Caenorhabditis elegans: one gene and its partners. The protein of the gene in region 3 purifies or fractionates together with the protein of the main gene of each other region. This does not show direct contact. Each region holds a gene or a part of one and is shown on either strand. Other genes may lie near its edges.

Region 1 (6,587 bases), on a different chromosome or scaffold from region 3:
AATGCTAAAGGTAGTTATTTGGAGCGGCCGACACGCTCGGGTTCCGCAGCTTGGCGTGAAATGAGTAGCTTGGTGTGTGCGAAGAAACAGTTTTTTGGAAGCGGCCGGCGTGTTCGGGGACCGCGCGGTACTATGCATTCGAATACATGCGGCTTGAGTGACGCCGTGAAGCCGGCAGAGGCACCGTTGCGGCGATCTCAAGGGAGACCTACATTGAATAATAACGAAAAAAATTGGTTTAACAGTTTTTCAAAGTTGAAGGAAGAAAGCTCTTAGTAACTCAGTAGGTACCTAGGTAAAGCCTTACATTTTTTCTATAGGAATCAGAATTTAAACAAGGGAAGAAACTATATAAAAGATACATAGGTCCAGTTGCTAAAATTTTTTAATGCAGCAGAAAAAATCGGTTTGATTAAATTTTGATTTTCTAAAATTTGGTAAATTAGTGTTTCAATAATGTTTTGAAAGATGATCGCGGTTTATGGGCATCGTGATCAGACGATTTACCAAACTTGAAAACCGCATGCGAATGAAACTTTACGGCGTTTGGAAATCATATCTAACCCACCGACATTCTTCTTGATTCTTGATCTGCAAATTTTCAGTCAACCCCTACGATCTCCCTACCGTCAAACCGCAAAGTTCAAACGTGTATGGACCAAGGAAACCGCAGTTCGTCGAAAATCAATAATCATCGAAGAAGTAGCACCATCGTCCAGTCGAATTGCTAGATTATGGCTAGTTCCGTGTATTTTTCTTTTACATTCCATCTTTGCCATTTTCCCATGAACAACTTTCAACTTTCAATCAATTGGTTTGCGACAACTGCAATTTTTCCATTTTATCGGAAAAATTCAGCCACACAGTTATCTAGAGGCAAACATATTAAAAAATTAGAGAAAAAGAGACAAGAAAGAGAGAAAAAAGAGAGAAGTCATAGAAATATTGAAATTAAAAACGCAAGATCACTAAAAAGTGTGTAAGCTATTTTCTTACAGAAAAGGGGGAGGGAGACAAGTTGAGTATTAAATCAGCGAGGGTTCCTGTTTAGATCTTTCCCAGGAAAGCGGTGGCCATGGAGGTTCCAAGTTTAGCTGGAGAGTCGGTAACCTGAAACAAATTATGGCATTTTTTTAGCAACCAAGTTTAATTTTTCAAAATATCTTTAAAAACCTGCTGACTTTTCAAGTTAAATTCTAAGGTAAATCGTCATGAACAAGGTGTAACTTCATAAATGTTCTAGATTATTTTGACAACTTTTGCAACAGAACACTGTATATCCCAAGCTTCAAAGTGCAGCTTTAAATTTTATTCTGGAAAAACGTAAAAACTTACTACTACTCCGGCTTCTCTAAGAGCATTGATCTTGTCAGCAGCGGTTCCCTTTCCTCCCGAAATGATGGCTCCGGCGTGTCCCATTCTTCTGCCTGGTGGAGCTGTGACTCCGGCAATGAATGAGACGACTGGCTTCCTGTTGGCTCCCGAGTTGTGCTCCTTAAGGTATGCGGCGGCCTCCTCTTCAGCTGATCCTCCGATTTCTCCGATGAGAATGATTCCTGGAAAATAATTGGTTTCATATTCTTTTTTTTTTTAATTTTTACTGGCTACTCTGGGTACTGATAAATACAAAATCACATTGTTTGAGTTCACATTAGGGTATTATTTTCATGAAACATGAGCTCACCCTTAGTTTCTGGATCCTCAAGGAAGACGTTCAAGCAGTCGATGAAGTTTGTTCCATTGAATGGATCGCCTCCAATTCCGACGCACAAAGTCTGTCCGAATCCGACTTGAGTAGTCTGGTGCACAGCTTCATAGGTGAGAGTTCCTGAGCGGGAGACGATTCCGATGCATCCCTACAAGTTCAGCAAACAGTTTTGATAAAATTTTTAATTGATAATTTCTGAACATGTTTTCGAAGTTCAACTTCACTTGAGAAGGATTTTAAAGGGTTCTACAACAATATTTATAACTTACTCTCTTGTGAATGTGTCCTGGCATGATTCCGATCTTGCACTGATCGGCCGAGATGATTCCTGGACAGTTTGGCCCAACAAGTCTTGTCTTGTTCTGCTTGAGAAGACGCGACTTAACACGGACCATATCGTGTTGTGGGATTCCTTCAGTGATGCACACCACCAATGGAATCTCGGCGTCCATGGCTTCCTCGATGGCGCTACCGGCAGCACTGGCTGGAACGTAGATGACAGAGGCGTCGGCTCCGGTCTTGTTGCGAGCTTCGGAGACGTTCTTGAAGACCGGGAGTCCCAAGTGCTCTGTTCCGGCCTTGTTGGCATTTACTCCACCGACGACTTTAGTGTTGTACTCGAGCATTTGCTTTCCATGGAAGGTACCCTGAAATTTTTGTGAATTTTTTTTTTGAAATACATATTTTCGATATTTTAAGAGTTCGCTATGCGCAAAGTATTGACGTCAAAAGCATATCTGAATACATTAAAATTTTATAGCCGTTGAACTTTGAAAACACTGAATTTAAAGTGAGTTGCGAAGACAGGCGTTTTCATTTTAAGATGTAATTTTTTATGAAGCTGAGTTGTGACCTCTATTTTGCATAAAGCGTATTGTCAGTGTTTGAGTTTATATTATCGCTCCAGAAGCTCCCACGCCATTCATAAATTTATTCGGGTATACCTGCTTTCCTGTGAATCCTTGCACAATAACCTTGGTGTCCTTGTTGATTTTCAGGTTGTTGTAAGTGCTGTTGTAGAAACGAGCAGCTCCTGGAAATACAAATAAGGTGATTTAAATGAAATAGGCAAACATACCCTTCTGCAAAGTTCTAGCATTGTTGGCAATTTGCTGACTCAACATGGTTCCCTGAAAGAAAGATATTATTCAATTGCCGTAAAATTTAAGATGAACGGTGCAATCGAGAAGATGCAATGAAAATGTGAAAAGCTTATTTTCAATAAAAAAAGATAGATTAAAGTAGTTGTATCATCAAAAATAAGATTTATCAAAAACAAAAATAAAACCAACAAAAAAAATAGATTCCTTGATATCTAAACAACTAACTCTTGTGTTACACAAAACAAAAGGGTAGAGAGTGAGTATCGCGTGAGAGGCAGCAGAGAAAACAAGGACGTACGCAGCCAATTGGTTGGCTGAGTATCAAACGATTAGACACTGCCCAACGCTGCCCCGTCCGTTCTCGCTCTCTTCCAACGTGCCTGCACACGTTGTGCGGCGGCCGGGAGAGTGTGAGTGGTGCGGTTGCACAAGTTGGAAACCAAGTCGGCGAAAGACAATCGAGTAGTTTTTTTTTTGGCAGTTATCACAGTGGATGAGGAAGTGGACATTTGAGAAAAGTGTTTGGGGCAAGTGGACTTTTAATTATCATTATTTATAGAAATTTGTGGAGTGCGAAGTGGTCCCTCATTTTATGAAATTTTTTTCAGTATAACTACAAAAATTAATTGATCACTCTTTGTCCAGGGAAGGAATTCACTGTTAAATCACAGACAAAACCAAATCACAGCTTTGAATCTGTAATCAATTTTAGAAATCAACATTGGTTTTCCAGCTTCATTTTTCTATTGCTGTAGTAGTCTCAAGACAGACCGACTTAGTTACATAGTGACCGTTCTCGTAATTATTTAAAACAATCTAAGGGCGTTTGAAGTTGAATATCTCTGGTCCAACCGTTTACCAAACTGTCAATATTTATTGCATACTTTTGTTGCTTCAAAATTGATAAACATATATTTTTAGTCTATAAGTTCACTCATTTATTAAAATACGCTAGTCAATAAGAACATGTGGAATTAACTACTTGTTTACACAGTCTTAAAAATACTGAGAATTCAAAAATTAAAAAAAAACAACATTTTTGAATACCTATGGAGAAGCCGTACCCCAAAAATTTTAATCATTTCAAAAAATTCAGATGTGGTTTTATAAGCCTACGACTTCAATTTAACCTCAAATTTTAATAAATTACAATTTGAATTAGAAATAAGTTGGACATTAATTTTTTAGGTATGCTTGGTCTTAAAATATTAACTTTAAAAATAACGATTCAAATATTCAAATCTTTTTTGTCTGATATCAAAAAAAACCTGTTAACTAACTGAAAAAATTAGGTAGCTTGTTAGAAAAAAAAGAAAACTGTTCTTCGGTTTTCGTTTCTGCAAAATGATAAAAATTGAGTAATCAACTTTCTCGAACATTTTATCTATCAATGATCAAATACGAACTTCAACAATAGTTTTCAAATTACAAAAAAAATATGCATAGAGAAAAGGGAATATCTAAAACTAACATTTCTGTCAGCAAAATTGACTTTATTTTTATTTTTCTATCACCCAATCATTCGTTTCACGTGCGCACAATCGCTCTTGGAGATTATGCTCAAAGCTTACAAATAATTTATAGTTTTCCCTCCTCTCAACGGTTTGGTCAACTTTCTTGAAAGTTGTCTCGTGTCTTGCAGTGAAAACGTTTTTTTTCCAGTTTTTCGCTGTTTTTTTTTCTCCCGTCGTCCTCTCGTCTTCTTCTTTCCCAGCAATTTATTGATTTGTGGCGGTGGTGTGCTCCCGAGCCTCCCGAATCCGCACATTATCATTCAAATCCGCTGTCCGTTTGCCCGGATGTCATCCGCGGATAAACTGCGATAATCTTTCGCGGGAAGCCATACTTATGCATCGGAAATGGCAGTTTTGACTAGCGAGCTCCATTTTCCATTCTCAACCGACACGAATGTTACTAATGTGCTCATTGCGCTTGTTTAAAATTCATTAGTTGCTCCTGCCCCTGCTTCTGCTCTGAGAAAGTACCTTCTTTCCTCGTTTCTTTTTTTTTCAGCGCGTGTTTCTAGAAGGTTTTCTTACAGAGTCACAGAATGTTAACTGGCTACACTACAGAAGAGTATATTCAAATTGGATTTACTATCCTGGTAAGCAAAACACCATTGAAGTAGTTGTAATATAATTCAATTATTCAGTGTGGAGCATTGATTGGGTGGCTAATCAATCGTTTTTACTTTAAAGGGCGCGTGGAAGATTCGAAAAGCAATCTGAAAAATGATGAGCAGTTTTCTGGAAAAATGAATACGGTAAGTTGTTTACAATTAAAAAAATTTTGCATGTTTTAAACTCCAACCTTTTCAATAAATAACACTAAAATCCGTGCTAAAATACTCAAGGAAATAGTAGCTGAGCAACCTAACAATTATAATAATATCATATTTTGCAGGCAAACATCAAGAAAAATCGTGTGATCTTTAGCCCAGAAGTTTGCGAAAATGGTATGAATTTTAGTTTTTTTTTCAGAAAAAATGTTCATTTTCAGACCCACCAAAGGAAAGGGCTTCAAACTCTGAAAAGGACAACAGTGAGGAAAAAACTGAGAGTGAATCAGAAACTGATGAGCAAGATGAAGATGAAGAAGAGGAGCAGATGCCACAGTTTAATAACCGAAAAATTACAAATACTCAGAACTTTTGTCCAGATGAACCGTCAACGTCTCAGGAAAATGTGAGCACAACATTTTTCGGCCAAAGTCTAAAATTGTATTTTCAGCCTTTTGCCAAAGAGCTTTCCGATGCTGACAAGATGAATGTAACAATTGGAAAGCTCCACGGAAAGCTTGCCACTGCTCAATTAAAGGCGAAAACCCGTCAAATCGCCGCAGAAATGAGTAACGAGGAGAAAGAATATGTGAGAAAAATCCTCTTTTTTTAAAACATGAACCACTTAACTTTTAGGAAGCAAAAATGAAAAACAACCAAATGGAATCAATCATGAGACTGATGATGCAAAACCAGGAAAAGTTCGGCATGAGCAGTGACGACATCAAAGAGCAAATGAATCTCTACAACTTTTAAGAACATAATCTTTTAATTATTTTTTATTTGCTACTTTCGTATTGTAAAACAATTCATGTCAGCAAACTTTTACCAAAAACTCACAATCCACTTCATTCCATAATTGATATTTGTCCCATGATCATCATCGCATAACTTCCATGTACAAAAAAAATAAATACTGTTGAATCAACTGTGAAAAATAAATTACACAAAAAAATAAAGTTATTTCTGAAACATTTAAAAAATTGTATTTTTTTTAATAAATAGTTTTTGAGAATTCATAAGATTTGTGAAAGCTTCAAAGGACTTGCTAATGTCAAATTCAAAACCTAATTTTTTCTTTAATGTGCCCTTTTAATAAGTTCTTGGCAATGCTTTTTGGCAGTTTGAAACCTCAAACTTTGCCAGCTCTTTTGTGGCATAGCGGCCGGAAATTAGTTTTCTCTAGTTATCTATCGACAAAAAATATATCTGAATCACAGAACCTACAACACTAAAAAGATTGCGCCATTAGAAGTTCTAGATTCTAGTTGGCCACATTTTAAAAGTTCTTTTCACAAAATTCGATATTTTGAGACAATTTACACACCAGAAAAAAATTGTAAAATGTTCATATAGCAATTTTTACATAACTTTTCACAATCTTCATATATTTATTCACATGTTAGACCCATTATAAAAATTTCAACTAGTTTGACGACGACGCATTTGGACGAGTTGGTGGACGGCGGTTTGAAGGACCTCGGCAGCGACTCTGAAA
Region 2 (5,724 bases), on a different chromosome or scaffold from region 3:
CGGATTGCTTTTGCTTACTTATCATCAGTTTTGATAACGAAAAATTCCACGTGTTGCCCGGTAACGCCTAAATACTATTATGACTAAGTAACTTTTGCAAGATCGGGAACGTTCCCAAAATGAAATCTGCACAAGTATTAGACTACTGTAATTTCCTAAATCTAATGTGATTGTTGGTATTAGTTGCGTCACAACTAGCGGCGGGCATTTTCTTATCAAAAAGAAAATGTACGGTGGCACTGGATACGACTTTTAGAAACCAAACATTCCAGGCTCGATTATTTTTCAACCTATTAGAAGTTCTGGGAAAAAACTGAGAGACATGACCTTAAAAAATAAACCAATGAAAAGTTTCAGGCGTTGTGGCGGCACAAAACCCAAGTTTAACGGCATGCGATATCAATAACCAGCTAAATGTTTGTCAGAGTCAGTTCAATCAACTTTTGGGATTTGATGGTAATGAAACTGAAAAATAGAATTAAGCACAAAAGTTTTGGTGTTTCAGCTTCTCTCGGTGCTGCCAAATATCAAGACTTGAGAAGTGCCATTGAGCAGTCGTATGCCAATAACCAAGCATACGGGCTTCTTACAACTTGCGATGCCTTCAAGCAGTACAAGCAGTGCTAGTAAGTGACATAGTTTGCAATGTTGTGAGATTCACAATGTGCGACGGGAATATCTCAGTCGGTAGTGTGGTGATCGCAAGCAATCATGAGACCACTAGTTCAAGTCCTGCCTTTCCCTAGGATCACCCAACCTAGCTTGGGAATTAGAGGAATCCACTAATGGCTCGTGGCTTGAAACTAAAGCCTAGTGGGAGTTTAAAAACGGAACACCCTTTGATCCTTTAATTTTTACATCTCAAATCAACTGATTTATAGCCAACCAAAAGAACAGTTCTACGCATGTGCTCAGAACCCATACGGTCTTCTAACTGGAACCAAGTAAGTTCTCAATTCAATATATACTGTAACAGTTTTTGTCTGTTCTTCAGCAACAACGGCGCCCCACTCACACAGGATCAGGCTAATGGATACGTAAAAATCTGGAACCAACTTGATTTTGTCTGTGGTGCTGGATTCTCGAGTAAGATTAGCAATTATACTGTAATACTGAATACTAGAATTGAATTTTCAGTCTTTGCCAACTCTGAAGTTTGCGGCTCTTCTGTCTTTAACAACCAGACAGCTGCAATGAGACAGTGCGACAATGACTTCAACGTGAAGTCCATGGCTGACCCAGCTCAAGCTTGCGCGTAAGTTTTCAAGTTTTGTTTCCAATCAAAAAGAATAATGAATAATCTTAACTTTCTAGATACGTTGAGATCGCAGCCAACTGCTACTTCCAACTGTTCTGGAACGCTTGTAAGAAGCCAGAGATGGCCTACTGGGGTTGCAACTACGAGCGTACCGGTACCAATCTTCTCTTCCCACAGTGCTCTCAGATTTTCTGCACATGTAGGTTTTCAGAATGGGATGGGGTTTAAATAATGTTTATTTTATTTTCAGTCCACGAACGCGTCTGATCGTCTTTTGTTTAATCATCTCCATTTTTTGTTTTGGTCAAAATGTTTTATTTGAATTCACATTTTTGGGAATAAATCTATGTAATTTAATTCATAATTTTTTAATTTCAAAAATTTGTTTTCGTTTGAAATGCTTCAATGCATTGAATACTTCTGACTTTGTGTGTGTGTGTGTTTTTTTTTGCAAAATTAAAAATACATATTTGTGCTCACATTATGCTTTCAGATGTGGCAAGACCGGTGTTTGCCATTTCTTGCGTTGATTCTTGGATTGTCAGGTAAGTAAATTGAAATTAAAACTTGTGAAATATTTGTTTTAATCTTATTTTTTTATTCCAGGAGTCCAATCAGCCGGTCTAAACTGTGACTCGACGGTTTATTTTGAGTGCCAAACTGCTCTCAATGCGGTTTTGAGCATCAGCGACCCACAGCCATGGTTTGACCCCGAAAACTTCCGCAAGGAGGCAAGTTTTTAATACAATAGTTTCCACGCTTGCCATTCCATGAAATGATAACTGAATAAGGTGATATGACGAAGGGTGTGCATAGTGAAATGTGAAATGTGAGGTTTAGAACGTGTCGATGATAACTTTTAAGTCAATGGGATTAATTATGTCATCATGATTGTATTATAATCTGATTTTTTGATTATCAGAAAAAAGAGCAAAACACAATTATTGATTAAATTTAGGTGGAGACAAACTACCAGGCTCAAGGACCCAGTGGAATGCGTAAAGTTTGCAAGTCAGTACTTCACTAGATACTCTCTCTCGAATCCTGAATATAATTCCAGAGCTTTCCGCGAGTTTAAAGTTTGCATGGGCTCTGAATACGCGAACTGCATGTCTGCGGTCCATTTTGTTTCTGTATCGGCCACTCCATTCAACGCTTATCAATTTGTTGGACTGTTCAACCAAATGCACTTTGTCTGTGGAGCTGGATTGCAAAGTATGAATTTTTATTGTCATTTCCCGACGCGATGTCGGAATTGAATTTTGTTGAGTACACAATTACACATCTTTTTGGCATGGTATGAAGTTTCTAGAATAGGTGGAAAACACGGGGAGTGTCGAAATCAAACTTTCTGGGGCTTGCTGCTGTGGTAATTTATACACATTATGAGACTCTTAGAGGAATTTCTGAGTTATGATTAGAATAGGCATGAATACTAGCACATATTAGGTTTAAAAAAAACATTCAAGAGACGCAGGAAAATATGATATACATGGGAAATAGGTCCATCGCTGACCACAACCGAAGTCGGCTGCGCATTTACTATAAATTCCTAATTTGCTCAGAGATCAGAAATCGATTAACACAAAAATAGCGCCTTATACAGACTAATGGATTCCAACCGTAACGAGGTAACTTTCTTCATTTCAGCATACCTCCTTAATGAGGGCTGTATGTCAACTACTTGGAGAAGCCAAAGTGATGTCCTGAGACAATGCCGACTAGATTATGAGGTGAACAGTGACGTTGACGCAAATCAGGCTTGCACGTAAGAAGACCATCGGGTATTATTAAAAAACGCCAACCAAACTTACAGACAAGCCAATAAGTACTTGATTTGCTTCGAAACTCAGTTCAAAAACAACTGTGGTGAAAAATCAAACGATGCCATGTTCTGGGCTTGTGAATACTCAAGAGTCAATGTTTTTACTCGATTCCCTCAATGTGCAGCTAGATGTGTTTGTAAGTGAAACTTGAAAATTGTGAAATCTAGTAAAATTGATTTTGTTTTTTTGCAGTGCCATATAGCGGAGGAATCATCGGATGAGTCGAATAAAACGAAATGATGTCAGATACAAACAAATTATTAACTTTTTGTCATTCAATCTTAACTATGTATTATCATTTGTGATAAGAATAAATTTTTATTACTGAGAAAATGCCATCGGTATAGTATATGACAATCTATTGGTGTGGCGATGGGGAACTTCATGAAAAGTTTTGAAAAAAGGGTTTTGAAATAAATATTGCCAATAGCTTTTTTGGGACGTTTTCAACATTTGGTATATTAAACATTTTGGTAGGACAACAGATTATAAGCAAATTATTATTGAAAAAAAACTATTTTTTGACTGTGTATCTTTTATAAATTGTTTTACTTATTATGCAATATTTGAAATAAAAAATTAGTTTTTTTTTCATTCGTTTTAAAATTTCACCGTCAAATTCAAATACAAGGTTCCGAAAATACTTTTTCCGCTTAGCCCATTTAATGCAATAATCAATGTCTTTTAAGCGTACAGGATTATTGATAATCACTTCAACTGATAAGGACTGCAATTCTTAATCCCATAAATGAAACATTTCCCTAGCTTTTCCGTTCCACGACATGCTGTTGAATGTATTGATTGCGGTGTTGGCAAGTAAGTTCAAAATGTACCCCCAGATTGATTGACCTTTTAAGCATGTTCAGTAGCACCAACAGCTTTTTGTGCATGCGCTCCTTCAACTACAGGTACATGCACTCCAGATTTACTTCAGTGTTGCGGGCTACAGCTCAAATCTGATCTAGGCTTGTCAAACTGTTATGGTAAAGCTTTTATAACAATTTAATTGAATGAGCTATCAATTTTTGAGGAATTCTTGCTTTCGAGCCTGAATGTCACCGTCAAGAAATTGAAAACATGTACATCAACGGTATAAGTGGTTTGTTCAAAGTTTGCGAGTTCGTTTTTTCATACTTACATTGTCTTTTGCCCATCGAAAAAAATTGATTTCAGCGCTTTTAACAAGTACTATGAATGTCTTGGACCAGCACGACGTGACTGCACCAGCATTAGTTATCACGTGAAAGCAGGTCTTCGACTTGGGTAAGTTGGCACAATTCATTATTTCTGTTAATCTTACCAAGTTTTCAGAGATGCCGTGCAAGTGGTGTCAATGTACAAACAATTCGGATTTGCGTGCGGAGCTGGATTTGAAGGTAGGTTTTCAATAATTTTTGAGCAACAAAAAATTTTAAATGTTTAAGGATTCTCCAACAACGATGTTTGTATGTCGAACATTTTTTCCACAAAACAAACTCAGATCAGCGATTGCCGTGCCACATTTGCCAAGAATTTGTTGGCAGATTATAAGAACCACTGCATGTAATGAAATATGATCAAAAATTTACAACATAATTAATTTTTAAAAAATCTGCAGGTACTTCGAGCAATATACCGGATGTTTCAATGCATTGTTCGATCACAGTTCCTGTAACTCTGAGAGCTCTTGGTGGGGATGTGAATATGCACGACAAGCTGGTCGAGCTGTTCTGCACGATTGCAGTCTTCAATGCTCAAGTAAGTCCAAAACAGATTAATGAGCAATTTTTATTTTTTCAGCATTCTGAACGCCGGGAAGAAATGCAAATGTTTTATCAATTTTGTGGTATTTCGATTTTGAAATAAAATATTTCGTATGTTTCAACAAAAAAGCTAAATCTAAAAGAGATACCATCAAGTTGAAATAATTTCCCATCCAAAAAAAATTAATAAAACTTTTATTACAAAACAGTACAATACGAAATGTTATTGAATTTCGTAGAACCAGATCAAATTACATATTGCGCCACGTTGTTCTAACATTATTCGTAAAAAAATAGTGTGAAAATGTAAAAACTCATTTAATTTATCCGATAATTACAATCATTTTAGCTGAAAGTGCTTCAAAAATGGTTGGAAATTGCCAAATGATGAATCGAATTTTCCAGCTTTATATTTCCACAATTGATATCTTTCAGGCAATTTTTTTAGCACGTTTATTAATGTTTCAGCTAACGTCGATGTTATTTTCAAGTAAATCAAACAACATTCTGTAGTTCGGCACTAATTTTTTTAATGAAAAATGTGGGAAAAAATAATGCAACTTTTTTTGTAGAATTGCCGAAAATAAATGCCACCCACCCCTGATCATATATGCATTGGCAGGCTAAAATGAATACTTGGTACAATTTCAGAACATAACTTTTTTGTTGGTTTTTCAAAATAATTTTTTGGTCTGGTTCCAGTAAAATTTTCAAAAAAAAAACTTCAAATTGTGAATGCTTGTTAAATGGGTATCTATTTACACCTTAAATACTAGTGTGACTAAAAAGGTGTAATGCTATGGTAGAAATAATTGTTTGGTCCCATTCATGGCCCGTAATGGCTATGGGGCTTTCCCATCTACGACTCATAAAAAGTAGAAACACTTGTTTTCAACAG
Region 3 (11,147 bases):
TCCGCTGTCCGTAAAGAAAGAACAAAAGAAAATAGAATAAAGTGAGGGAAAATCGAAAATTTATGGAAATTATGGGAATTGAAATGACATGTTGGTTTAGATTATATTGAATAGGCTAATGCATTTTGTATGAATAGGGTCAATTATAGTAATTTCCACATTTTTCCAGCCTTCTCCGATTGTTGATGTTACAATGGTAATTCCACCAATGATTTATCGAAATTCACTTACTGTACCAACAAGCCCGTTCTTTATCACTGATAATGGAATCAGGTATGTTCTTTTAATGTGTTTTTATATATCTCAAACTCAATCCCTAAATCCACCTAACTTGAAAAAGTTTCAAATATTTTTGAAACATATACTCATTTAGCAAATTTCAGCACGTATCGTGACGAGCCACCATCATACAATGAAATTGTGGAGCGTGGTGTATCTCCGATTCCAGCACAACCAGCCAAAGTTGCACTTCCAGACGTATAAAATCCTGTTAACTCGCATATATTTTATTCTGAATCTCTCTCTCACCGAATAATTTAAATTTTAACATTTTGTATCAAATTTGTATTCTTTTAAATATCTTGAGATTATTGTATCTTTTATGTGTCTTCTAAACTTCCTTCTGATAAATTACGATGCAACAATCTCCGAAAATTGAAAATTTTAACATAAAATATATTTCTCAATTGAATTTCAATATTCAAACAAATTTAATAAACTTATTTATTTTGATTTTTGTGACCACATATTGTGGTTCGTTGAAAACAAATGAGCGTCTCTCCACCACCAAAAATTTCTAAAAAGTGGCGCAACAACAATGAGAAAGATGTGAAAAATAGAGCAACTGGATGGCTTTTCAAATTAAAAGCTTTTTGACGATCATTCGGTTACTCATATAGAGAGAAAGAATACTTATGAAAGACGATTGGCACGGGAAATGAATGAAAAAGTTATTGGGTGACTACTGGTGGTCGACGCTCGATTTTGCACACTCCGTTGACCGAACGCATTGAGACAGGACACGTGGCTTCTGCAATAACATTTACACGCTATATAACTTTCGATCTTTCTTTTTGGAAATTGAACTTACGACAACGTTTGATTATTTTTCGATTCACTTCCATCTCTAGAAGCACTTGATTTGGTGGGCAGGGAAGTGTGGTTTTCGTTGGCTTCACGTTTTTCACTGGCTTGGTTTTCTGAACTGGCTGTGGTTTTTGACGCCTTCGTCCTGGGTGCATATATTGTGAAGCCATCTGAACGGCTGCTGATGCTATCGAATGAGCCATTCGGAGAGGTTCAGGTCTTTTAGATGTGATATCTTTTATCTGAAATGTTTAGTGAAGGCTCTCTAGATGAAGGAATGAATAGTTACCTGAATAATATAGCTCTGCATATTCAAAGGTTGTCGTTTTTTGCAACAATGTGTCTGTTTTGTTTTTGGCGACCTTCTACAGAAATATCCTGGAGGGCATGTTGCATATCGAGTACAAATCACTGGTGCTTTTGTTGCCGGGAACAACAAAGCTTCACCACCGTCACAAACGTCCTTGAGAACTGAAAAATATTTGTTCATATCTTTTATCCCTGAAGGTTTTATCCCTGAAAGCTTAAGATTTAAGCGGGCATATTATAGCGGGCAAATATTAAAGATGCTTCCGCAGATTCCGATGATCTTAGCTTACCATAGGTCCTCATGACTAGTTTGTTTGCTGCACAACAGAAATAATTTTTCGCTTGTGGACTCCAAGTACATGAATACCCAACTGGACATGGTTGTCCACTGATGCATTGCCTTGCGATTCCATTTGCCAGGTAAGGTTGTCTCGGTGCTGGGCAGATACCTTCATTCATGATTTCAGCATGACCAGGTTGTGGCTGCCAATTGGAACTTGTTGTCGTGATGACTGCTGATGATGTAGAAGACATCGGAGGTTGAATCTGTTTCATGACATGAGGAGAACCCGTTGCAAACTTGTTAACATTCATTGGTAGAGAAGGTCTCACAGATTGTTTCTTATCGCAACGATGGCCTTTTCTAACTGATGACTCGTCACAATCACATACTCCATCAATACATTGACCCATTCCCTGACATTGAGCAGAATGTACACAACTTCTTCCAAGTGTTACCAACGGGAAACATTCGTCTTCTACTTTAACTTGTTTATCAGTGCATTCTGTAAACTTGCTGATTAGTTTCGCATTGTATTTCTGAGTGTTAACTCACTTATTTCCCGTTCAATTGAGACATCCATACACTGTTGCTTCTGTTCAATTGTTCCAGTTGGACATGAACATTTCATTGCGATGCAATGTGATTCACCAACACATTGAGGTGTTTCTTCACACTGTTCTCCAATTAAAACTCTATTCAGACACACTCCATTCACAGGGACTTGGGAAGCTTCGCATGCTGAAATATAAATTCAAACTGTACAACTGCCTAATTATTTTCGGGAACTAACTTTCTCCACCAGCACAACATAACTCAGCTCCACTCTTTCCACGAACACACGAGAATCCATCAGGACAGGCACTTCCTCCGTTCATTGAACACGCTTGGGCTTCTCCAGTTATTCCAATAAATGCAACCATTTGTACTGGACAGTCGCTTGGCATTCCACAACATTGGAATTGTTTGTTTTGATTCGAGAATTGACAGAAATATCCAGCTGGGCACGATAAACTTGCAGATGTACATATTTTTGGTTTTTTAGTGTCTGGGTCGGTGTATGCAATCTGGCGAGTTGGGCAACCGTCATCTAATAAAATATAAGAACTTTAAATTTTTATATCAAGGAATACACTTACTCTCCATGGGAGTTGGCAATGGATCACTTCCACAACATTGATATCTTTGAGTTCTAATGGACCATTGACATGAGAATGTTCCAGGACATCCTTGATTATGAGGATTGAATGGATCACATGTTGCAACTTCATTTCTCTCCATATAAACTATTTCTCCAGGTGGGCAACCATCAGAAGCTGTCAATTGGGGTTGACCTCTGAAGACATTTTTCATATCAGAATACCATTTGAAAATAAACAAGAAAAACTTGGTTTGTATATATTATGTGGGAACATTATTAAAATTTTTTGATGCTATAGTCTTTCGTCAAATGTTCATAAAACAGTAAAGCTTTTCACCAAAACTTTACCTGACCTTTTCAAAACCAAAACACTTTTGTAGCGTTCTAGAATGACTTTTAGCCTATCTTGAATTATTACAAATGTATTTTTACTAAACTGGTGCTAACTCACTTGCAACAATATCCCATTGATCCATCAATCTGCGCCATACACTGGAATCCAGCAGGGCAAGTGACAAAATGTCCGATAGTACACGAACGTGGCATTCCAGAAGTTTCATCAATAAAGTATTCTTCACGATGCGGACAAATTTCAGAGACAGAGCAGCAGTATCCCTGAAGAGCATCCTTGAGATCACTCAAACATTCGAAGCCGTCTGGACAAGATGACGTGGCAGCATGCATTGTGCATCTGGTCGGCTGAAGACTTGTTTGGTCTTTGAATGGGGCACGTCCCGTCGGACAGTAATCTGAAGGATTCGTCGACATTTTTTATAACTCTCATAATTCTTGACTTACTAGCTTTGCTCATTGATCCGCAGCAGAAATATCGATTTTTAATGGCATTGAATCTGCACAAATAATCTTTCGGACAAGAGTTGTGCTCATTGATCAAACATTCTCGAACTGTTCCATCCATTGAATTTATGTAAGCCTGAAAACATAGCGTTAAAATTAGACAGAAGCGTTTCATTCTAACCTTCTCATTGTCTGGACAAACTCCCATATCAGTTGCTCCACAACAAACACTCTGATCTGTCAAACTGTCATAAATACATTGAAAACTTTTTGGACAATTGTTCTGAAGTTCGTCATTGCATGAAATTGGAAGAGCTGTGTTTGGATTCAAATATACAACATCTCCAGCATTACAAGCAGATGCCATGCAGAAGTTGTTACATTGATTCAGGGAAGCAAAGTTGTTCGGATTGCCATCACAACCATTATAAACGAATGGAGAGCATTTACGTGTGACAATATTGAAATAGTATCTTGTGACAACGGTGAGCCCTCCAGAACATAATGAGGATCCTTGTTGAGGTGGAAGACCGCAGATGTAGGCTGAACATTTAAGATGAAAATAGTTATAGTGATGGGCGAAAGTTTGTGGTTTTTTGCATGTTTTTGAAATGTTGTAAATGAGTAAGAACTTCAGAAATATATGTTCAACTAAAAGAATGTAACTTAAAATGTTGTCTACAGGTTGGACTTGCAAATTGTCGGCCGCCGTATTTTTTGAAATTGTGAAGTTGTAAAATGTAATCTTGCTTGTACACAAAATCATCGGCAACATATTAGTTGATTTTTTCTGATTAACTTTTCTAGTTTTTGAGTTATGCTCATTTGAAAATTGTTAGAAATTAGCGAAACCCCAAAAACCCATAAGCTTTTGGCCCCCACTGCATCATTTATTTTTTGAACTTACTTTTAGTTGGACAACATCTGTAGGACATCATATCTGGTCCCAAACTGACGCCATAGCATTCATGAGAAGATGGGCATCCACCATCTCTTTCAGAACACGATTGCAGTGCTCCATTACTATCTCTCAGTGGACTTCCCCCGTTTGCACATCCACCAACGCCACAGTAATTTTCACATTCTGCACGACTTGCAAAGGTGTTGGAATTTCCGTCACATCCAAGATATTCGAAGGATTCACACTCTTGCGTCTGTGGGTTATAGTGATATTTGAAAGAAACACCTGGTCCACAAGTTTTTCCAGGACTTGGAGAGAGGGAGCAAGTGAATGCCTTGGTGGGGCAGCATCCATGCATGTTTCCATCAAAATAACACTCAAAGTTTGCTGGGCAGGATGAAGATTGACGATTCGTAGTGCAGGTTACAAACTTTCCTTGGTTATCCTTGTATGCTTGGCCTTGAGGGCATCGTGGCTCCGCTAGAAATATAATTTTAAAGATCATTCAGACGAATATTCTAGGCTTACGTGCAGCATTTCTGCAGAATGTCTGACAATCAACCAGAGTTTCAAAGTTATTGTCATTTCCTTGGCATCCGGTGTATTCAAATGATTGACATTCTCTTGTTGCCGCTGAATACCAATACCTTCTTACCGATCTATCACAGTTTCCAACCCGAAGTGGTTGAGTACAGATTGTTTCTGAAAAATTATCTTGCTCACTCTGTGGTAGTTTGCAGGATCTTACGCATTCTTGGGCAGCAAACAGCTTGATCCATTTTACATTCGTGAGATGATGGACAGTCATTATTAGATGCACATGATTGAGTGACGTCACCGATTCGAAGTGGGTTTCCACGATCACATTGTACTAAAATTAATATTCCTTTCATGACAGTTAATTGGAAAAAAACTCACATCTTGCACAATAAAGTTCACAATCAATTCTTGATAGGAAATTGTTATAGTTACCACCAGCTCCCAAATATGTGAATGGACTGCATTTTCCGGATTGTGGATCATAGAAAAATCTTGTCGATGTAGCTGTTCCTTGCTTTTCGACACCAGAATGATAAACGGTACCGCGATTATTAACGGAAGGATCGAGTGGACGGCCTCCAACTGGACCACAAACAGAAGCTACCGTAGGACAACACCATTGAGTACTTCCAACAGATTTGCACTCATAGTTATGGGAGCATGCACTGGTTTGTGAGCATCCGGTAATTGGAGTCTGCTCGAGGAACGAAGTACGGTGGATGTATTCCGGAGCTCCACGAGAGCACGCTGAAAATCAAATTTTGTTTCCTACACAAACATTTTTTTAAACTCACTATCTCTGCAAAAGCTTTCACAATGCTCAACGGTTCTAAAGTTGTTTGGTGAATGCTCTCCTGAGCCAGAAGCCGATGGATCCCATAAAAACTGTTGGCACATTCCAGTAATCGAGTTGTACCACCATCGAGGTTCCGTTGGATTTGGTCCAGTAGCAGTTGGTTGAACACAGGTGAATGCACGATTAGGGCAACAGATACCATTTGCTTTTTCACTGTATCCAGAGGATGTAAGGTCTAAACTAGAGACAAACTCCACACAATCATATTGATCAGCAATGTATTGGCCATTTGATGGGAAGAGGCAAGCTGAGTTTCCGTCACCTGCCTGAATATAAGAAAGATCCGTTTTTATTCGGGAGAGTTTTCTGGTTTCAAAGGAAAAATAGGCATACCTGCTCGTCACCCTGATTTGTATTAGTACTATCTGTATTGCACAACACTGGTCCCGGCCCATCATTTTGTCGTGGATGCTTTGGATCAGATAAAGCTGATGTATAACCAGCACCTTCTGGTAGCGGACAAGTGATAGCTAGAGTATTGTGATTTGCATCAAGAACATCCAAACAAACATGCCCATCTCTGGTAGCTCTTTCAACTTTATTCTCTCCACATCGGCACGTTCCAACTCCTGCAGAAGTGTCACAGAATGCATCAGGCCAAACTGATGCACATTGCTCGTTGTACACACATCCAGGCTGTCCTGGATCTATTTTTTGGTAACAGTAGCCTTCAGCTGCGATGTAAGTTGTTAGACAGGAGCAGAGACCTCCATTGCAAAACATCCCCTAAAATAATTTTCATGACATTCTAGGAAATTAAAATTTTATAAACTAACAGCTAAGCAGTCAGTATTGAACGCACAAGCATCTCCAACACGTCCGCTACCAGTTTGCCGTTTGTCTCGGAGCCCATCAATTTGAGCTGAATTTTTTTAAAAACATCATAGGAACTATTATAGGAATTAAAATTAATCTATTTTCTATTTTCTAACTGAACTTTTGGTAACTTTTTTTCAAATTTATTTAACTGAAATGTTGTGAACTTATTTTTTTTTGAATTTATTTGAACTTATGTCTGAAAATCTAAACAAAATACTTTTCCAGAATTCTGATTGTGAGAACTTTTTCAAATATTATTATTAGGTTACCAAACATTTTCTACAGTACTCCTGGAATATCCCAAGACACCCTGAATGAATATGAATAATCGGAGTATTTTCTTAAATGTAAAAGTAAACATAGTTTATTTGGTAACATAGTACCTACGAACTACCACATGACTAACTGCCGGGTTGATGAGAACAAATTTGGGGGTGATTGTGGAACGAACCTGCACACGAAGTGAGCAATAATAATAATAATAGAAGAAAAAGGTCTTGAGTGACCATAACGGATTAAGGAAGTGAAGGAGTATGGCAAACTAATAATAATAATTTTAAACAATGGTTGAAATCATAGAATAGTGACTAATAGTAAATTAATAAGGAAGGTGACAATATTTCGACAAAAGAGGAACACAATAGTACAGAAATGTGCGTCGCTCCGCGCCGGATGTCAAAATGAGTTCGTGGTGATAGGGTGGTGATAAATGGTACAGAAAAGAGATAAAGTCGGAGACATGTTGGGGAGGGCGATTCCTTCAACGTGTCAAAACGGGGGCAAACAAGGTGCGGAATACTGTAAATATGGGTCAGGTAATCAACATTCTGCTCTCGCACACTGGTCACGAAGAGTGGACATTACGAAGAGAGGGGGAACATTAGAATTGACATTTCAAATTTCGAGGAATGAGATTTCGGGGAACAGTAGATAACGTGATAAAAAATTATGTTGCTTTGTTCTTGAGCTCGTAACAAACTCCTCCGATTGGGATTTGAGGGAACGGGCAGCTTCTTTCTGAAATTTCAAAAATATTGTGTTTATAAACAAATCACCTGAATAATTTCTCCTTGACTGATATTCGATAACATACCACATCTCTTCTCAATTCTTCCATTAACACCTCTTGTTACAAGAACTAAGTACCCTTCACATGGATTGATGGCTGCTGGTGGCCCTCTACTGTAATATGCTCCAAGTCCGAACGATTCACTTTGATATCCAGGTCGATCGGAATGGCGAGATGGACAGCAAATATGATTATTGGATGTCGAGCTCTGCACACATCCAAAGCCAACTGGACATCCTCTTTTTCCTGGTTGACAAAGTACAGGAGAACTTGTAGATGGATAGATCAATGGATTTCCACGTGGGCACTTTTCTTGGTCAGGAGATGGAGTTGCTGAAAATCAAAATTGAATGATAGAACTTGATTCCTTCAAATCTTACACTTTGAAACAACTGATCCGGTAGTTCCAGCAACAGTTAGACCTGGCTTGTTGGCCATTGAACAACAATGATAACCATTATTTCTATATGTACATTCATAACCTGCAGGACAACGCGAAATTGTGCATTTTTGTGGAGCACCGTTAAGAAGGTAAGGGGTTCTTCCAGTTGGGCAAACTTAAATATAGTATTTTTGTGTTGAAACATTTTAAGAGTTTAAGGCGCATGTTTACTTTTAGAAAGCTCGCGCAGATAGATTTCTTTTTAGTTCAGACAATTGGAAAATTTTTCAAAAAGTTGGAAAGTGTCATTGAAAGTTGCCAAAAAAAGTATCAATAACATTTTCCAGAAATTATCAACTTTCAAACAGTTTTTGAGTGTTTTCCTATCGTTTCAACTAAAATAATAAATTCTTCATCTAATTAGCATCACTGTTCCAATCACAAAAATCGATTACCTTTCAGATTCGCTTTTTTTGTGGTCATTATCCTTTCTGTTGTAGTTGTCGATGGAGGCGGCAAGGAAGGAATTGAAACAGTTGATGACATTGACATGTCAGGAGCACAACAAAGATATTGAGTTCTTCTATTATTAATCTGACATTCATATCCATTTGGACAAGCTTTTCCAATTGGTGAACAATGTTTCGGTCTCTCGTGTTCTTCATCGATAAGTGGATTCCATCCTGGTTTTGAGCAAGTGACTCCGTTATTGATAGCTACAAAATTTTCATTGTTGTTTTGTTTTTTCAAAATAATTTCACAGAAAGACAAGAATTGTAAAACTCACACTTAGAAGATACAGCGGATTTCTTCTCTACCGGGGTCATACATTTTCCAGCCTTCTCAATGAATCCTTTCTTACATTCACAGGACCCTTCAATACAACCTGAATTTTCTTGACACTGACGAACTGTTAGACAGGCTTCTCCAAGTTTTGCTTTGTTGTGGCACAGACCGTTATGAAGTACTTGATTGGAAGAGCATTCTGGAAGCAGATTGCAGATTTTTTACAGTTTTCGATAATACAATATTTTTGAATAGTTGGCCCAAAATTCAAAACAAAAAATAAAAAATAAAGAAACTCACGAATCTCTTCTTGACAGAATCCACCAACTGCCTTCAACGGTGGTCTACATTCACATTTAGCATCTTCACAAACAGATCCACCAGTACATTGCTCATTTGCAAGACATTCACTTCCAGGACCAACTTGTGCATGGCATTCTCCCTCGATTATCACTTCATTTGATTCACAGGCAACTTTTCTCACTGTACAGCAGACATGGTGTCCAGCTAATGACTTTTGACATGCGAATCCCCGTGGACAGTTTGATTGCCCAACAACGCATTTCTCTGGTTCCCCTGACATTCCCACAAAGGCAACTGATTCTTCAGGACAACCACCACTAACTCCACAACATTGGAATTGATTGTTGGAACTTGAGAATTGACAGAAATACCCAGCTGGGCAATTTGCTGCTCCAGCGCTACAAACTCTAACAGCGTCTGCATCTCTGAACGCAATCTGAGCATTCGGGCAACCATCAGAAGGTCTTTGAGGGGTTGGAGCAGGGTTGGAACCACAGCATTGGTAACGTTGATTGGAAAGAGACCATTGGCACGTAAACTCAGATGGACATGGAGCATTCGGTGGATTGAATGGATCACACTGAGCAATTTCTCCTTGAACAAGATACACGTACTCATTTGGAGGACACCCATCTGTAACTGATGGTGGAAGAGCTCCTGTTCCAGATTTACAGCAGAAACCGTCTGCGGATGAGGTCAATGATCTGCAAGCATATCCATTGGGGCACGAAACAAAAGTTCCTTGAGTGCAAGCTCTTGGTTGTTGAGATTGATCATCAATAAGGTAATCAGCATTATCTGGACAAACTGAATTTGCAGTACAACAGAATCCTTGGAATGCGTTGGCAAGATAACTTTGACAAGTGAATCCATCGGGACATTGATCATTTCGTCCGATTGTGCATCTAATTGGTTGAGATGTTCGTAGATCTTTGTAAAGGAACTTTCCAACGGGGCATGTTTCTGAAAATTTTTTTAATGAGTACGTAAAAAGTATCTATAATTTTTAGTAGTTAAAATCTAAACTCACTTCCAGTGATACTTGAACAACAGTAATACTTATTCTTCTGCATATTGAATCTACAAAGATAATTCGCTGGGCAAGATTGTTCAATATTGATTAGACATTCTCTTGGTGACATATCAATTGTATCAATAAATGCTTTCTCGGCTTCTGGACAAACTCCAGAATCAGTTGCTCCACAGCAAACATGATTATTGATAAGTGGATTGAAGGTACAAGCATATCCAGATGGACAACTATTGCTTAGTGCCTCATTACAATTAATTGGCATTTGAGAGTTTGGATCGACATAAGCAACATTTCCAGCTGGACAAGCATTACTCATACAGAAGTTTCTGCATTGTTGAATATTTAAAAAGTTATTTGCATTTCCATCGCATCCTCCAAATTGGAATGATGTGCATTGACTTGTTACAATATTAAAATAGTATCTCTGAACGTAATTAGCTCCACACTGTGTTCCCTGCTGAGGTGGAAGACCACACATGTAGGCACGAGTTGGACAACATCGATTGATCAATGAATTACCGACAAGGACAGGAATACATTCGTGAGAGTCTGGGCATGATGTCTGTTGAGCTCCACATACCATAACCATTCCAGAGTGATCTCGTAATGGAGTTCCACCGTTTGGACATCCACCTACACTACAATAAGATTCACAGGCGTCTCGATTTGCGAAATTATTTGAATTTCCGTCGCATCCATTGTACTGGAAAGATTCACAGTTCTGAGTTTGTGGATTGTAATAGTATTTGAATGTGCTTCCAGCTCCACATTGAATTCCTGAATCTGTGTTGAGAGAACATGTGAATGCTTTTGTGGGACAGCATCCCCATTGACTTCCATCAAA

What was found.
Region 1: the proteins of ZC84.6 (region 3) and sucl-1 fractionate together in Caenorhabditis elegans (co-fractionation; one large-scale study listed by BioGRID). This does not show direct contact.
Region 2: the proteins of ZC84.6 (region 3) and nspg-12 fractionate together in Caenorhabditis elegans (co-fractionation; one large-scale study listed by BioGRID). This does not show direct contact.

The regions. Positions count from the first base shown.
Region 1 is NC_003284.9:14,750,277-14,756,863, reverse strand, and holds sucl-1 (Succinate--CoA ligase [ADP/GDP-forming] subunit alpha, mitochondrial), read right to left. Parts: upstream 2,839-6,587; 5' UTR 2,833-2,838; coding exon 2,787-2,832; intron 2,742-2,786; coding exon 2,653-2,741; intron 2,356-2,652; coding exon 1,978-2,355; intron 1,857-1,977; coding exon 1,685-1,856; intron 1,557-1,684; coding exon 1,336-1,556; intron 1,111-1,335; coding exon 1,048-1,110; 3' UTR 790-1,047; downstream 1-789. Other genes in the region: C05G5.5 (Metalloprotease TIKI homolog), read left to right, coding at 606-789; C05G5.3 (Matrix-remodeling-associated protein 7 helical domain-containing protein), read left to right, coding at 4,862-4,915, 4,964-5,074, 5,215-5,266, 5,311-5,495, 5,541-5,678, 5,726-5,845; wshc-2 (WASH complex subunit FAM21), read right to left, coding at 6,516-6,581. UniProt on the Caenorhabditis elegans protein: Succinyl-CoA synthetase functions in the citric acid cycle (TCA), coupling the hydrolysis of succinyl-CoA to the synthesis of either ATP or GTP and thus represents the only step of substrate-level phosphorylation in the TCA.
Region 2 is NC_003284.9:5,253,443-5,259,166, forward strand, and holds nspg-12 (DUF19 domain-containing protein), read left to right. Parts: upstream 1-3,856; 5' UTR 3,857-3,866; coding exon 3,867-3,900; intron 3,901-3,950; coding exon 3,951-4,067; intron 4,068-4,114; coding exon 4,115-4,202; intron 4,203-4,257; coding exon 4,258-4,347; intron 4,348-4,395; coding exon 4,396-4,460; intron 4,461-4,508; coding exon 4,509-4,626; intron 4,627-4,681; coding exon 4,682-4,821; intron 4,822-4,863; coding exon 4,864-4,871; 3' UTR 4,872-4,942; downstream 4,943-5,724. Other genes in the region: nspg-14 (DUF19 domain-containing protein), read left to right, coding at 358-456, 506-626, 882-944, 995-1,086, 1,138-1,255, 1,315-1,457, 1,509-1,525; nspg-13 (DUF19 domain-containing protein), read left to right, coding at 1,752-1,803, 1,865-1,989, 2,217-2,269, 2,319-2,473, 2,909-3,026, 3,075-3,220, 3,277-3,305.
Region 3 is NC_003281.10:9,192,269-9,203,415, forward strand, and holds ZC84.6 (BPTI/Kunitz inhibitor domain-containing protein), read right to left. Parts: upstream 7,438-11,147; 5' UTR 7,240-7,437; coding exon 7,182-7,239; exon of another isoform or gene 7,090-7,181; intron 6,774-7,089; coding exon 6,688-6,773; intron 6,638-6,687; coding exon 6,245-6,637; intron 6,178-6,244; coding exon 5,850-6,177; intron 5,803-5,849; coding exon 5,434-5,802; intron 5,387-5,433; coding exon 5,264-5,386; intron 5,218-5,263; coding exon 5,044-5,217; intron 4,996-5,043; coding exon 4,522-4,995; intron 4,158-4,521; coding exon 3,796-4,157; intron 3,751-3,795; coding exon 3,615-3,750; intron 3,566-3,614; coding exon 3,268-3,565; intron 3,012-3,267; coding exon 2,815-3,011; intron 2,766-2,814; coding exon 2,469-2,765; intron 2,417-2,468; coding exon 2,231-2,416; intron 2,181-2,230; coding exon 1,686-2,180; intron 1,664-1,685; exon of another isoform or gene 1,583-1,663; intron 1,558-1,582; coding exon 1,376-1,557; intron 1,329-1,375; coding exon 1,091-1,328; intron 1,031-1,090; coding exon 951-1,030; and 2 more. Other genes in the region: ZC84.7 (uncharacterized protein), read left to right, coding at 170-273, 384-483; ZC84.1 (uncharacterized protein), read right to left, coding at 7,677-7,747, 7,824-8,132, 8,180-8,356, 8,637-8,897, 8,969-9,166, 9,268-10,233, 10,301-11,147.